3 linked regions of the Ovis aries genome follow. The protein of the gene in region 1 purifies or fractionates together with the protein of each later gene. This does not show direct contact. Links are inferred from orthologs where the notes say so. Each region holds a gene or a part of one and is shown on either strand. Other genes may lie near its edges.

What was found.
Region 2: the proteins of LRRK2 (region 1) and MYO1B purify together in Homo sapiens (affinity purification with mass spectrometry; 3 studies listed by BioGRID and IntAct, with this or other methods). This does not show direct contact. The link is inferred for Ovis aries from reciprocal best matches to the Homo sapiens genes LRRK2 and MYO1B.
Region 3: the proteins of LRRK2 (region 1) and TUBB purify together in Homo sapiens (co-immunoprecipitation; 5 studies listed by BioGRID and IntAct, with this or other methods). This does not show direct contact. The link is inferred for Ovis aries from reciprocal best matches to the Homo sapiens genes LRRK2 and TUBB.

What each region holds. Positions count from the first base shown.
Region 1 is NC_056056.1:146,910,893-146,914,544, reverse strand, and holds part of LRRK2 (leucine-rich repeat serine/threonine-protein kinase 2), read left to right. Parts: intron 1-24; coding exon 25-152; intron 153-1,742; coding exon 1,743-1,961; intron 1,962-3,652. UniProt on the Homo sapiens protein: Serine/threonine-protein kinase which phosphorylates a broad range of proteins involved in multiple processes such as neuronal plasticity, innate immunity, autophagy, and vesicle trafficking.
Region 2 is NC_056055.1:193,674,176-193,677,827, forward strand, and holds part of MYO1B (unconventional myosin-Ib), read left to right. Parts: intron 1-700; coding exon 701-835; intron 836-2,819; coding exon 2,820-2,926; intron 2,927-3,652. UniProt on the Homo sapiens protein: Motor protein that may participate in process critical to neuronal development and function such as cell migration, neurite outgrowth and vesicular transport.
Region 3 is NC_056073.1:27,416,305-27,420,056, reverse strand, and holds the start of TUBB (tubulin beta chain), read left to right. Parts: upstream 1-1,414; 5' UTR 1,415-1,581; coding exon 1,582-1,638; intron 1,639-3,012; coding exon 3,013-3,121; intron 3,122-3,377; coding exon 3,378-3,488; intron 3,489-3,752. UniProt on the Homo sapiens protein: Tubulin is the major constituent of microtubules, a cylinder consisting of laterally associated linear protofilaments composed of alpha- and beta-tubulin heterodimers.

The sequences.
Region 1 (3,652 bases):
AAAAGTTCTCCAATCTTTATTTAGGTCGTGAGGAATTCTACAGCACTCATCCCCACTTTATGACCCAACGAGCCTTGTATCTTGCGGTCTATGACCTCAGCAAAGGACAAGCAGAAGTTGATGCCATGAAGCCTTGGCTTTTCAATATAAAGGTGATATGATCTAATAATTTGAGAATAGAAAATATTTCATGAGTTTTCTTATTCTATATAAGGTGATTTATTTGGGGCAAATAGTACCATCAAGCAGACTTTTCAAATACTTTTTTGCAAGAAAGTTAGAAGCACTTAAACTTTGAGTTAGGAAATTTTTAGGAGTAATTAAGTTGTGACATGAAAATAGTATGTTCTATGTTAATGAAAGGTATAGAAACTTGAAGCTTTTTTAATCTATTAAAAATGAGAATATATGTTAGGCTATTTTTATATTCTTTTTTATTTTATTTTATTTATTTATTGGCTGCACTGTGTGGCTTGCAAGATCTAAGTTCTCTGACCAGGGATTGTACTTGGACCATGGCAGTGAAAGCCCCAAAATCCTAACCACGAGGGTATCAGGGAGCTCCCTGGTATTATTACTTATGTATAATATGAATTTCCTTAATTTAAAATAAACTGTAGTAAGAAAAAGAAGCAATCTATGCATTACCAACTGTGTCCTCAGAGGCAATTTAGTATAAAGCCCTGTGGGACTTACAGTTTTAAATGGTCCCAGATGAATATTATATATTTGAAATTTTGCAACTTTTCCATTTTGTCTCTTGCTGTTAGATATTCCTTCATGTATATATGGTTTTAAAAATCTGTGCCTTTTTATAATTGATACTAAAGTAAAAATGAATGGTCATTGAATAATGCTCTAGTAGGCTCTTCTGTGAGGCAAATCTGAGCCACCAGGGAAGCCTACTATTAAGAGACATTTCTAAGTATAAAGACAGGCCAACTTAAAAAGTATCAGTGGATACACGCTTGACTTTATCTTATAATCTATAGACAATACATTAGAATATGTAATGAATCCATACACCTTTTCCAAAGGAATACCTAAGACAGAAGTAGCAATAAAGTTATAAATGACAGTCATCAATCAGATGAAATAATTTAGATGAAGTTTTTCTCTCTCAAAGAGATGGGGACTGGGCAAGTGGTCAGGATGGAAATACAATGTGCTTTTAACTTTGCATGAAAGATAATGTTCAGTTCCACTCGCTGAACATAGTTCTGTTTTTGCCAAATAAATCCTCTACTTCAAATTACTGTCCAAATGCTTTATTACTTTAGTGACTTGTTTTTTCTTTGTAGAAGCCACACTGAATTACTATAATATGAATTAATGAGCTTTAATTCACAGATAAGGAAGAGAAAATATAAAACAAATTGTATTACTCTGATATTATTTGGGTGTTATTAAATATTATTTTATCTAGAAGCCCAAAGCACACTTAAAGAATAACCCATTTTAGGCAGAGAGGAAAGAAATGTGTTATTACTGTCACATGGACCACCTGAAAAGTGACAATAACTAGATTAAGAAGGAGCATAAAAATGACTTTTAAAAATTTCTTAAGTTTAATTTGTTCCCTTAGGTTTAAGGAAGGGAAGACAGTTGTCATTTTCTTCTTGAAGTCTTTTGAATTCTCATTTCGATTCTAGTGAATTTCATAGAAAGTGAATATCAGTGGAAATATAAGCAGTCTTGATTTTTAAAACAAACACAAGAGTGTTTTGTGTCTTCCCCCATAGGCCCGTGCTTCTTCTTCTCCTGTGATTCTTGTTGGTACACATTTAGATGTTACTGATGAGAAGCAGCGCAAAGCCTGTATCAGTAAAATTACCAAGGAACTCTTGAACAAACGAGGATTTCCTGCAATACGAGATTACCACTTTGTGAATGCCACTGAGGAATCTGATGCTTTGGCAAAACTTCGGAAAACCATCATCAATGAGAGCCTTAATTTCAAGGTAACATGGTTCATTGCCTACCCTAGGTGGTAGATAAATATAATTTATTAACTGTTACATTCTGCAACTGCTAAGAAATGTCAGCAGTCTTGAGAAAAGAATAACTATCTTAAAAGTATGGGGTTTTCTTAGCTGTTAGCATTATTCAAGTACTTTTAATTTTAAAATTATTTATGTTAGACTTAATTTTGAACTCACAGAATTGGGAATTAGAAATAATTGAGGATCCTGAGAGAAACTAAAAGGATATCTGAGAGGCTGAGAGAATGTTCCTGAGAGAATCTGGGGACATGTTTTTGATGCCCTTTCTCTCCCAACATCCTATAGTAGTGATTCAGTCAAAAGGATAACGATGGATGTTGGGGTCTTGGAGTGATCTTTCTTGTATTTTTCTTTGACTGTTTTTTCTCCATCTGCTCCTTTTGGAGTTTCTGTTTTATGCTCGTCTTGGTCTTTGTTGTTCCTTCATGTCTTTGTCACTGTGATTCCCCCTTTCAAATATTTTTTTTCCTTCAATATTGAGAGAAGGCTCTTCCATCTGGTCACCACGGTCACTAATTTGGTTTTCAACAATGTGTAAGCAATATTCTAGTTCATACAAACTTTATGTCAAGAGTTATGTTTTTGATTTACAAAGTTTTTCTTTCTGGTAAGACAAATAGAGTTCATAGAGTTCATAAAACACAAATAAATTGGTTAACAAATGCTTGTTTTTAATACAAAAGAGAAAGAAATTTTACCTGGGCTCTACAGATAGCAAGGGGTAAACTGTACTGAAAAACACTTTGAATAGTTCCATATGACAAACACAATAGTGGATTTCACCGTTAGTCTCTATTGGTTTAGCTCATTAGTACTAACGATCAAAGCTGTGGCTTCTAACAAGGGTCTTGTTTTGCCTGGACAGTCCCAGTGTAATTATTAATTGTGTCTCACTACATTCTCAGAAGCATTCCAGTTTGGATGATAAATTACACGGTCACCTTGGTTATAACACATTATCCAGTTAGCTTAGTTCTGTTCCATTTCCACAGATTATGCTCTGTCTAAAACTTAATGAGCCATTTATAAGTGTGCCAGTCTTTGTGGTGCTCAGAGAGAGAATTTGCACATTTATATCTTTCCACACATTTATCACAATCAATAAAAGCTTTTACAAATGTGGGTCAATGGAAATTTTATGTTAGAAGAATAAAGTATCATTTATCTCTAGTTTTTGCTACTCTTTTGTGAGACATATGATTAAAGAGTGATATGACTTTTAAGAAACAAATGCACCAAATTAATATATTCAATTAAATATCCTCTTTACCCAGGGAATTTCCTTTTGAGACTATATCTATACTTACAGAACTTTGCTGTTACTTATAATATTTTAATAGCTTCTCTCTTATCATTGATATCAGACCATTTATCATATTTTAAAAAAGAATTCTTAAAGTATGAGTTTGTTTTGAGAAAATCTGGATTTAGTTGAGGAAGTCTATGAAAAGAGTAGTTGATTCATCAAGCTGGACTGGTACTACTTTAGGCTAACAGCAAGTTAGACCAGTTTACTGGTGATAAGACCAGTCTGTTTTCTGCGCTTGTACGTGAACTCTGAAGGCAATACCGGATGAGGAGGTTAAAAACAAATGCTTTGAGAAATGGCATTATTATTTGAAGGAAGGTATATATTGCAAATGCATGCA
Region 2 (3,652 bases), on another chromosome or scaffold:
GCCAAGATCTTGCCCTGCTAAACTGCCATGGACCACTGCCGAGCAAGGCTGGCAAACAGACTAGTGGGTGGAGGGGTGTGGGAGAGCGAGGCTGTGCTCCTCTCCCAGGATGGATTCAAAAGTTCTCCGTTTTTCTGAGAATAGGTGTAGTGCTGAAGAGTGTGAACTCTGAAGCCGGCTTGCTCCACCACTCACAGATTTGAAAGCCTGATTTTGTCATCTGTAAAGTGGGGATAGTAATAGCACTTAACTCGTAGAGTTAGGGTAAGGGTTCCGATGAAGTCACACTGTAAAGCCCCCACAGTGCCTGACCCATGGCAAGTGCTCGAGAGCAGTGTTGTCCAGTAGAGCTTTATGTAGTGGCAAAAACGTCCTGTATCTTTGTGGTTCAGTAGAGTAGTCATGAGCCATGTGTGGCTGCCTGTTAGACATTGCAGCTCTTCGTATTGGTGATAATAATAAAATTAGTATTCACGTTGGTTATTTTTCTTTTTCCTTAACCATTTGGTGGAGCTCAGATTTCTCCAGCCAGTGAGAATAGTAGAGTAGAGACTTTTCGGAGGAGTTACAAAGTTTTATGGACCAGAACTTGCTAAATTCCACTAAAGACTGGTTTCTTTGAGTCCGGTTTGTATTAGACAGTGTTTTCTTTTTCTGGTGTGTTTGACTCACCTGATATTTTCTGTCAAACCCAACACAGGTGCAAAAATACTTCTTGGAAATGAAAAATAAGGTGCCTTCCTTATCTCCGATAGATAAGAATTGGCCATCGAGACCCTACATGTTCTTGGATTCTACTCACAAGGAGCTAAAAAGGATTTTCCACTTGTGGAGGGTAAAAATCATCTTTTTATGTTTTTTCGAAGACGTCTTGCCATCTATTTTGAGTGTTTGCAAAGGGTAACATAAAAGCAGGATTTTGAAGTTAGAAGCATGCTTGGCTATCTGTGAGAATTCGCAGCACCCTCGTTGCTCCTGTGATGTCTCCAGGACTGCATTGTCTTTTCTGTCCAGATTCTAGTTGCTTTCAAGTAGTTCGATTTCTTGTCTTCATGTTTATCTGAAGAAATACTACTGGAGGTAGAAATAATAAAGTTTGAACATCTCCATGTGAATAGTAGAGTCTCACAAATTATATGAGTTTACTTTCTACATAGATCTACATAGACATATATGAGAACATACACATTCTGATGGACTGGGGAGAAAAGCTCTAAAGTCACCCAAAGGACATATAATTTCCCTCTCTCTGAATGAAAGGGAAGCTGAAAATCTATTTGATTTGGCCTTATATTTTAGCTCACTTAATTTTACATGAGCACGTAACATGTAATTTAGGTCGTGCTCAGCGTGGACTACGTGGGGTACTTGTATAGAGGTTGACTTTATTTCAGTAACTTAGTTGGTACATGGAATGGTACAATTATTTGTCATTTGGATAGAATGAAGTCTTAGGTTGAAGCGCTTGTATTTAGTGAGTGAGCAAATGATGGATACATCTTCCAGGAAACTTTCCTGCTCAGTGCTGGGACTTGTTCTTAGCTGAATCATATGTATATACAGAGAGACATTATCACTAATCACTGTAATGATTGTTCCCAGCACAGCCTGTGGAATGGAATACTAAGTCCTGTTCTCCTACTTAGTGAGTCAGTTTGGCAAGATTTGCCATTATCTCAACGTTCACTTCCCCCTTTGAGTCTGATACAGAAACTATTTCAGAAATAATGATGGGAGGTTGTGAATACTAGGCATCTGCTCCGCCTCCCCTTCCCCCTGGCTCCTGAATTTTGCCCTTACCTCCCTTGGTTTGGGGCGTGGAGAGAAGAGAAGGATGCATTTATTCCAAGGGTGGGCAGTAATGCTGATGATCTGATCATGTGGGTGATTCTCACCCATCCGTGAACTGGATTTCCTAGAAAGTTCATCTAAAGAAACTGGTCCTGCTCCTCATGCCATCCCCTGTCTCCTTTCAGTACAATCTCAGAGTCAGTGTGAAGGGGAGATTTCTCAGGTCCTATTTCCACATTCCAGCTTCCCTGGTGGCTCAGTGGTAAAGAATCTACCTGTCAATGCAGGAGACTCAGGTTCAATCCCTGCGTTGGGAAGATCCCCTGGAGAAGAAAATGGCAGCCCACTCCAGTATCCTTGCCTGGGAAATTCCATGGACAGAAAAGTGTGCCAGGTTATAGTCCATGGGGTCACAAAAGAGTCTGACATGACTGAGCGACAGACAACAAGAAACAGCAATGTCCATGTCATGAAATGGTAATGGAGGGTTTGGAGCATTGCTTTTCAAACTATAGATCGTAACATATTTGTGAGTCATGAAATCAATTTAGTAGTATTACTACCAGCATTTTGAAATGAAAATAACAGGATATATGACATGTAGACAGGATAAGCACTGTTTTTTGAAGCTTTTGTATCAATTGTATATATGTGTGTGTATAAATATGCATGCTGGGCTGTGATGGACCATGTTTTTCTTCCTGTGAGTCTCCGAAAAAGTGTGGATGTCCAAGGGCTGACGTAGTGGGAGGAAACGGTACTCTCAGGAGGGCTCAGGCCAGAGAAGTTCTTGTATGTTTTGAAGAAGCATCACAAGTTCTGCAACACAAATAGTTTTTATGATATTTTCCAAGACCAGCCTTTTAAAACTCAAGAAGGAAAAATTCTCTTGACCTTTTAATGAATATCTCATACACGTTTACTCTTATTTTTAACTGCTGTTAAATTGGTTTAGCATATTTAAGGATGAGTAATGATTTACTTATATAAGTGATGTCTTTTTTTCTTCTTCTTTTCATATCTCACAGTGTAAAAAATACAGGGACCAATTCACAGACCAACAGAAACTTATCTATGAAGAGAAGCTAGAAGCCAGTGAACTCTTCAAAGACAAGAAGGCTTTATATCCATCTAGGTATTATGGTTTGACTTTACCTGTAAAAATCAATATTTTAAAAAAGTTTCTCAAATGTATTGTAGGCATTTCCTAGTGGGATTTGATTTTAGTGACACACCGACTTTTAATTTCATGAAGTATTTTGAGATTGGCTGGATATGTTGTTCAGTGGCTCAGTTGTGTCTGACTCTTTGTGACCCCATGGACTGCAGCACATCAGGCTTCCCAGTCCTTCACCATCTCCCAGAGCTTGCTCAAACTCAAGTCCATTGAGTTGGGGATGCCATCCAACCGTCTCATCCTCTGTCATCCCCTTCTCCTTCCACCTGCAATCTTTCCTGGCATCAGGGTCTTTTCCAATGAGTCAGCTCATCGCACCAGGTGGCCAAAGTATTGGAGCTTCAGATTTAGCATCAGTTCTTCCAGTGAATATTCAGGGTTGATTTCTTTTAAGATTGACTCGTTTAATTTCCTTGCAGTCCAAGATACTCTGAAAAGTCTGAATATGAATGTAACACATTTGAGCAAGAGCTTTCATACTTAGCATACTTAGAGAAACAAGATCACATGTGATGGTTTTACTCCCTTAGCATTATCCTGAACACTTCCTAAATAATTAGAAGTTGTCATTTAAAATAAAAATTGTCTAGGCTAATAAGAGATTTACTCAGTAAATTCCTATTCGTTTTCCATTGGTTTCAGAGACTAGCTGGTTTCTGTTGACAATCTCCTGTAATCACCATT
Region 3 (3,752 bases), on another chromosome or scaffold:
CCATGGACAGAGGAGCCAGGCGGGCTGCAGTCCATGGGGTCGCAAAGAGTCGTACATGACTGAGCACATACGGAGCCTGATATCCCATGTCCTTTAATCATGGTGCTTACCACACTAGTGGTTATACACTTCTCACCAAATTGCAAGATCCTGGAGGACAGTGAGGTAAGGTGAAGGTGAAGTCGCTCAGTCGTGTCCTCTTTGCGACCCCATAGATTGTAGCCTACCAGGCTCCTCCGTCCATGGGATTTTCCAGGCAAGAGTACTGGAGTGGGTTGCCATTTCCTTCTCCAGAGGATCTTCCCAACCCAAGGATCGAACCCGGGTCTCCCACATTGTAGGCAGACGCTTTACCGCCTGAGCCACCAGTGAGCTAATCCTTCATCCTAGCTCCTTTGGTGGACATTTAATATCGCTCAAGTTGAATTAATCCCTGAGAAGAAACATGCCACTCAGATTTGAGCTCATCCATTTTTTTCCCATCACCCTCCCTACTTTTATTTTAATCCCGAGGTTCTTGAAAGATTGCAATGGTCAACCACCTCTCAGTGAAATCAGCGAGTTGAAAAAACACTGACTTCATCAAAGTGCCTATCAGGTATCTCACCCCACAGTTCGCCTCTTGACAAAACTGTGTTAAACGCTGCTCTAAGGCGCAGATTCCCCACATGGACGGAGACTTCCGGCATATCTGCTTCTCTATTCTTGAACATACCTTCCAAACAATTACTTTTTATACTGAAAAGTCCTTGATGCAATTTTGTTTCTTTCTAAATATTATCGTTAGAAAGCTCCCAAGGAAATAGCAGGAAGGCAATGCCCTCCTCCTTCCCGAGATATCTGGGGGAGCCGGAGCTCACTGGAGTTCATGCCAGTTGGGTCACCAGGGACCAGCTGTTAGATAGCAGATCAGGGTGCCGCATTTCTCCCCGTTTTCGCTGAGCTAAGCAGTCCTGTCTTCCCAAGAGCTACCGCAGCGGGGAGCTTTCAGGGCGTGCCCTCACTCCACCTTCCAAAGCCTGGCACACCAGGGTTCCCAATTCCTGTACCCTGCTAAAACTACTCTCTTTTGATACCAGAAGAGTCAGGCATAGAGGAAGGAACCCTAGCGCCAGGCCGTTTTTCAGTCAAAACACCTAAACCAAAACCCCCAGACCCAGTACCCACCCATTCGTCCTTTCATTTTGCAGCGTGGACAACAATAGAGAACTACAACTCCCAGGCAGGACTGCGCTCGTCCAGCAAGGACCAATGGACTTGTGATACAGGACCGGCACGGACTAATCAGGGCCAGCCTAGTGAGGCTTTGTCTCTCCACCGCGGCGCGCGGAGAGTTCTCCCGCCTCCCGGCCCCCGCGCACGCGCGCCCCGCCCTGCCCGCCTTTCCTCCCGCGCCCTCCCCTCTCCTTTCTCCCTCTCAGAACCTTCCTGCCGCCGCGTTCGGACCTCGCTGCTTCAGCCTCCGGGTCCCGTTCCATCTTTTCACCCTGCGACCAGCAGCAGAGAAAAACTAATTCCGTATTATTTTTTTGCCCCGTACATACTTTGAGGCGAGCAAAAAGATTAGAATAAATTTTAACAATGAGGGAAATCGTGCACATCCAGGCCGGTCAGTGTGGCAATCAGATCGGTGCCAAGGTAAGGATTTTTAACCTCTTTTGACTGTATTTATTTTTAAGGAAAAAAAAAACAAATCCAAACAGGTATATTATGACGGATGGTTGTAGAACGTTTGCATCTTCCATTCTTAGTCCAGATTTGCCCCTCAAAACTTTTATATATAAATGCACCTTTGAACCTTAGGATTTGCTTTTGAAAAATGAGGAATTATTTTTCTTGGCAGGCTTATTTTGGGGAAGCTGTTAAAAGCACCCTTCAGGGTTAGGGGGCGGGAAAACCGAGTTTCTGTAAAATTTTACTTAGAAAGGGGATCTCCTAACGGTCCGAGGACCGGGGAGCGAGGGAGATGCGGAAACGGCCCGAGACAAAAGCTGGATGAGGTTTTCCCCATGTGCATCCCCCTTGGCGGGGCTTCGTGGGGCTAACCCAGAGGGGGGAAGGGGCGAGGATGGCGGGCAGCTGCCGAGAGGTCAGATCCAAATGTAGGGGCGCGCTGAGCCAGGTGGGCTGGGCGATATCCTTTACAAATGATCAGGAATCTCCGGGCGCTCGCGATCCCCAAGGGGCGGTCCCGCAGTTTTTCGTGCATGGAAGGCTAATATGTGCTAGACTAATTTGTTCCTTTTATTTCCCCTTAACAGACTCTTAAGGGCGTGGACAGATAGGGAGAAAGGGCGAGGAAGGAAAGGGAGTCCATTCTTTGAAGGGGTTCCTCAGAGCTAGAGAATAGGACAAAGGAAGAAAAACCTCATTTAAAGCAAGGGGGTTAAAAGCTAGCAAAGAAATGAAATTTCGAGGCCAAGGGGGAGGGTTTTTTTTTTTTTTGCGCGCGGTTACAGTGTAGCGGGGGAGGGGCAGGGAGGAAGTGCGGCTGCTACGTTGTAGCAGAAGGGCGGGACCCGGGCGCCCCTGGCGCGCTGGGACAATGCGGCCAGGCTGGCCGGCGGGGGGCGCGCGAGCCCGAGCCAAGCCCCGCCCCTGGCGCGCGGAATTCGCCCTTCGGCCCCGCCCTCGCGCGGCACCTCCCTTTGTCGGCCGCCTGGCGCGTGCGTGCGCCGCGGTCACGTGCAGGGCGGGGTGGGCTGCTGCAGTGCCTCCTTTTCTTTGCACCCCTCCCCGCCCCGTCTCTTTGTGCCCAGGGTGACTACCTCCATCTACCCACCCCGCGCAATCCCCGGACCCTTTAAGCCACACAGCATCTCACGTCCCAGGCAGTGAAAGCTGCCTTTTCCCCGAAGGTGCATGTGGCTAGGGGAAGGGTGTGGCAGGCAGAAGAAATGCTAGATCTTTGGGGAGGGCCCGCCACAGGCGAATCTGGAGCTAAAATGGCAGTAGGGGAGCATAATTGGCTGCACCCTGAGATGCTGAAGACTCTTTGCTCTTCCCTGGCAGTTCTGGGAGGTAATCAGTGATGAACATGGCATCGACCCCACCGGCACCTATCATGGGGACAGCGACCTACAACTGGACCGCATCTCCGTGTACTACAATGAAGCCACAGGTGAGGGCAAGAGCCCGGGAAGCAGGGGTCCCATCTCTCCCACTTCTTTGGGGTCTCTGCCTCCCCGGGACACCTTTTACCCCCTTTGAATGAATCTATCTACACTCACTGGAGACCTTTCTCGCTTTTCCCAGTGTCTCTGCTGCCACCTGGTGGCAGTGTCTGAAATCACACATATGGGTCCCCGGCTCTCTTGGCCCCAATTTATTTATCTCTATGTCTTCCAGTTTTCACTCTTCTACTTTATTTCTTCTAGGTGGCAAATATGTCCCTCGTGCTATCTTGGTGGATCTAGAACCCGGAACCATGGACTCTGTTCGCTCAGGTCCTTTTGGTCAGATCTTCAGACCAGACAACTTTGTTTTTGGTGAGTTAGGGAAATATCAATAGATAGTGCTAATCGAGTTATTTGGGTGCAGTGAGAGTTAGAAATGATTGTACTTGAGTTTATACAGACTTGTGTTTTTAAATCTAATGGAGAGTGGTGGTAGTAATTTAGATAGCAAATTATATAGGGGCAGATGTATCATCGGGGAGTAAGAAGGAAGATAAATCCACTGGCCTTAATCCAAAAGTTGAAAGGTAGAAATGGGGTTGTGTATCTTTCAAACTTGACTGAACAAGTTTGCCT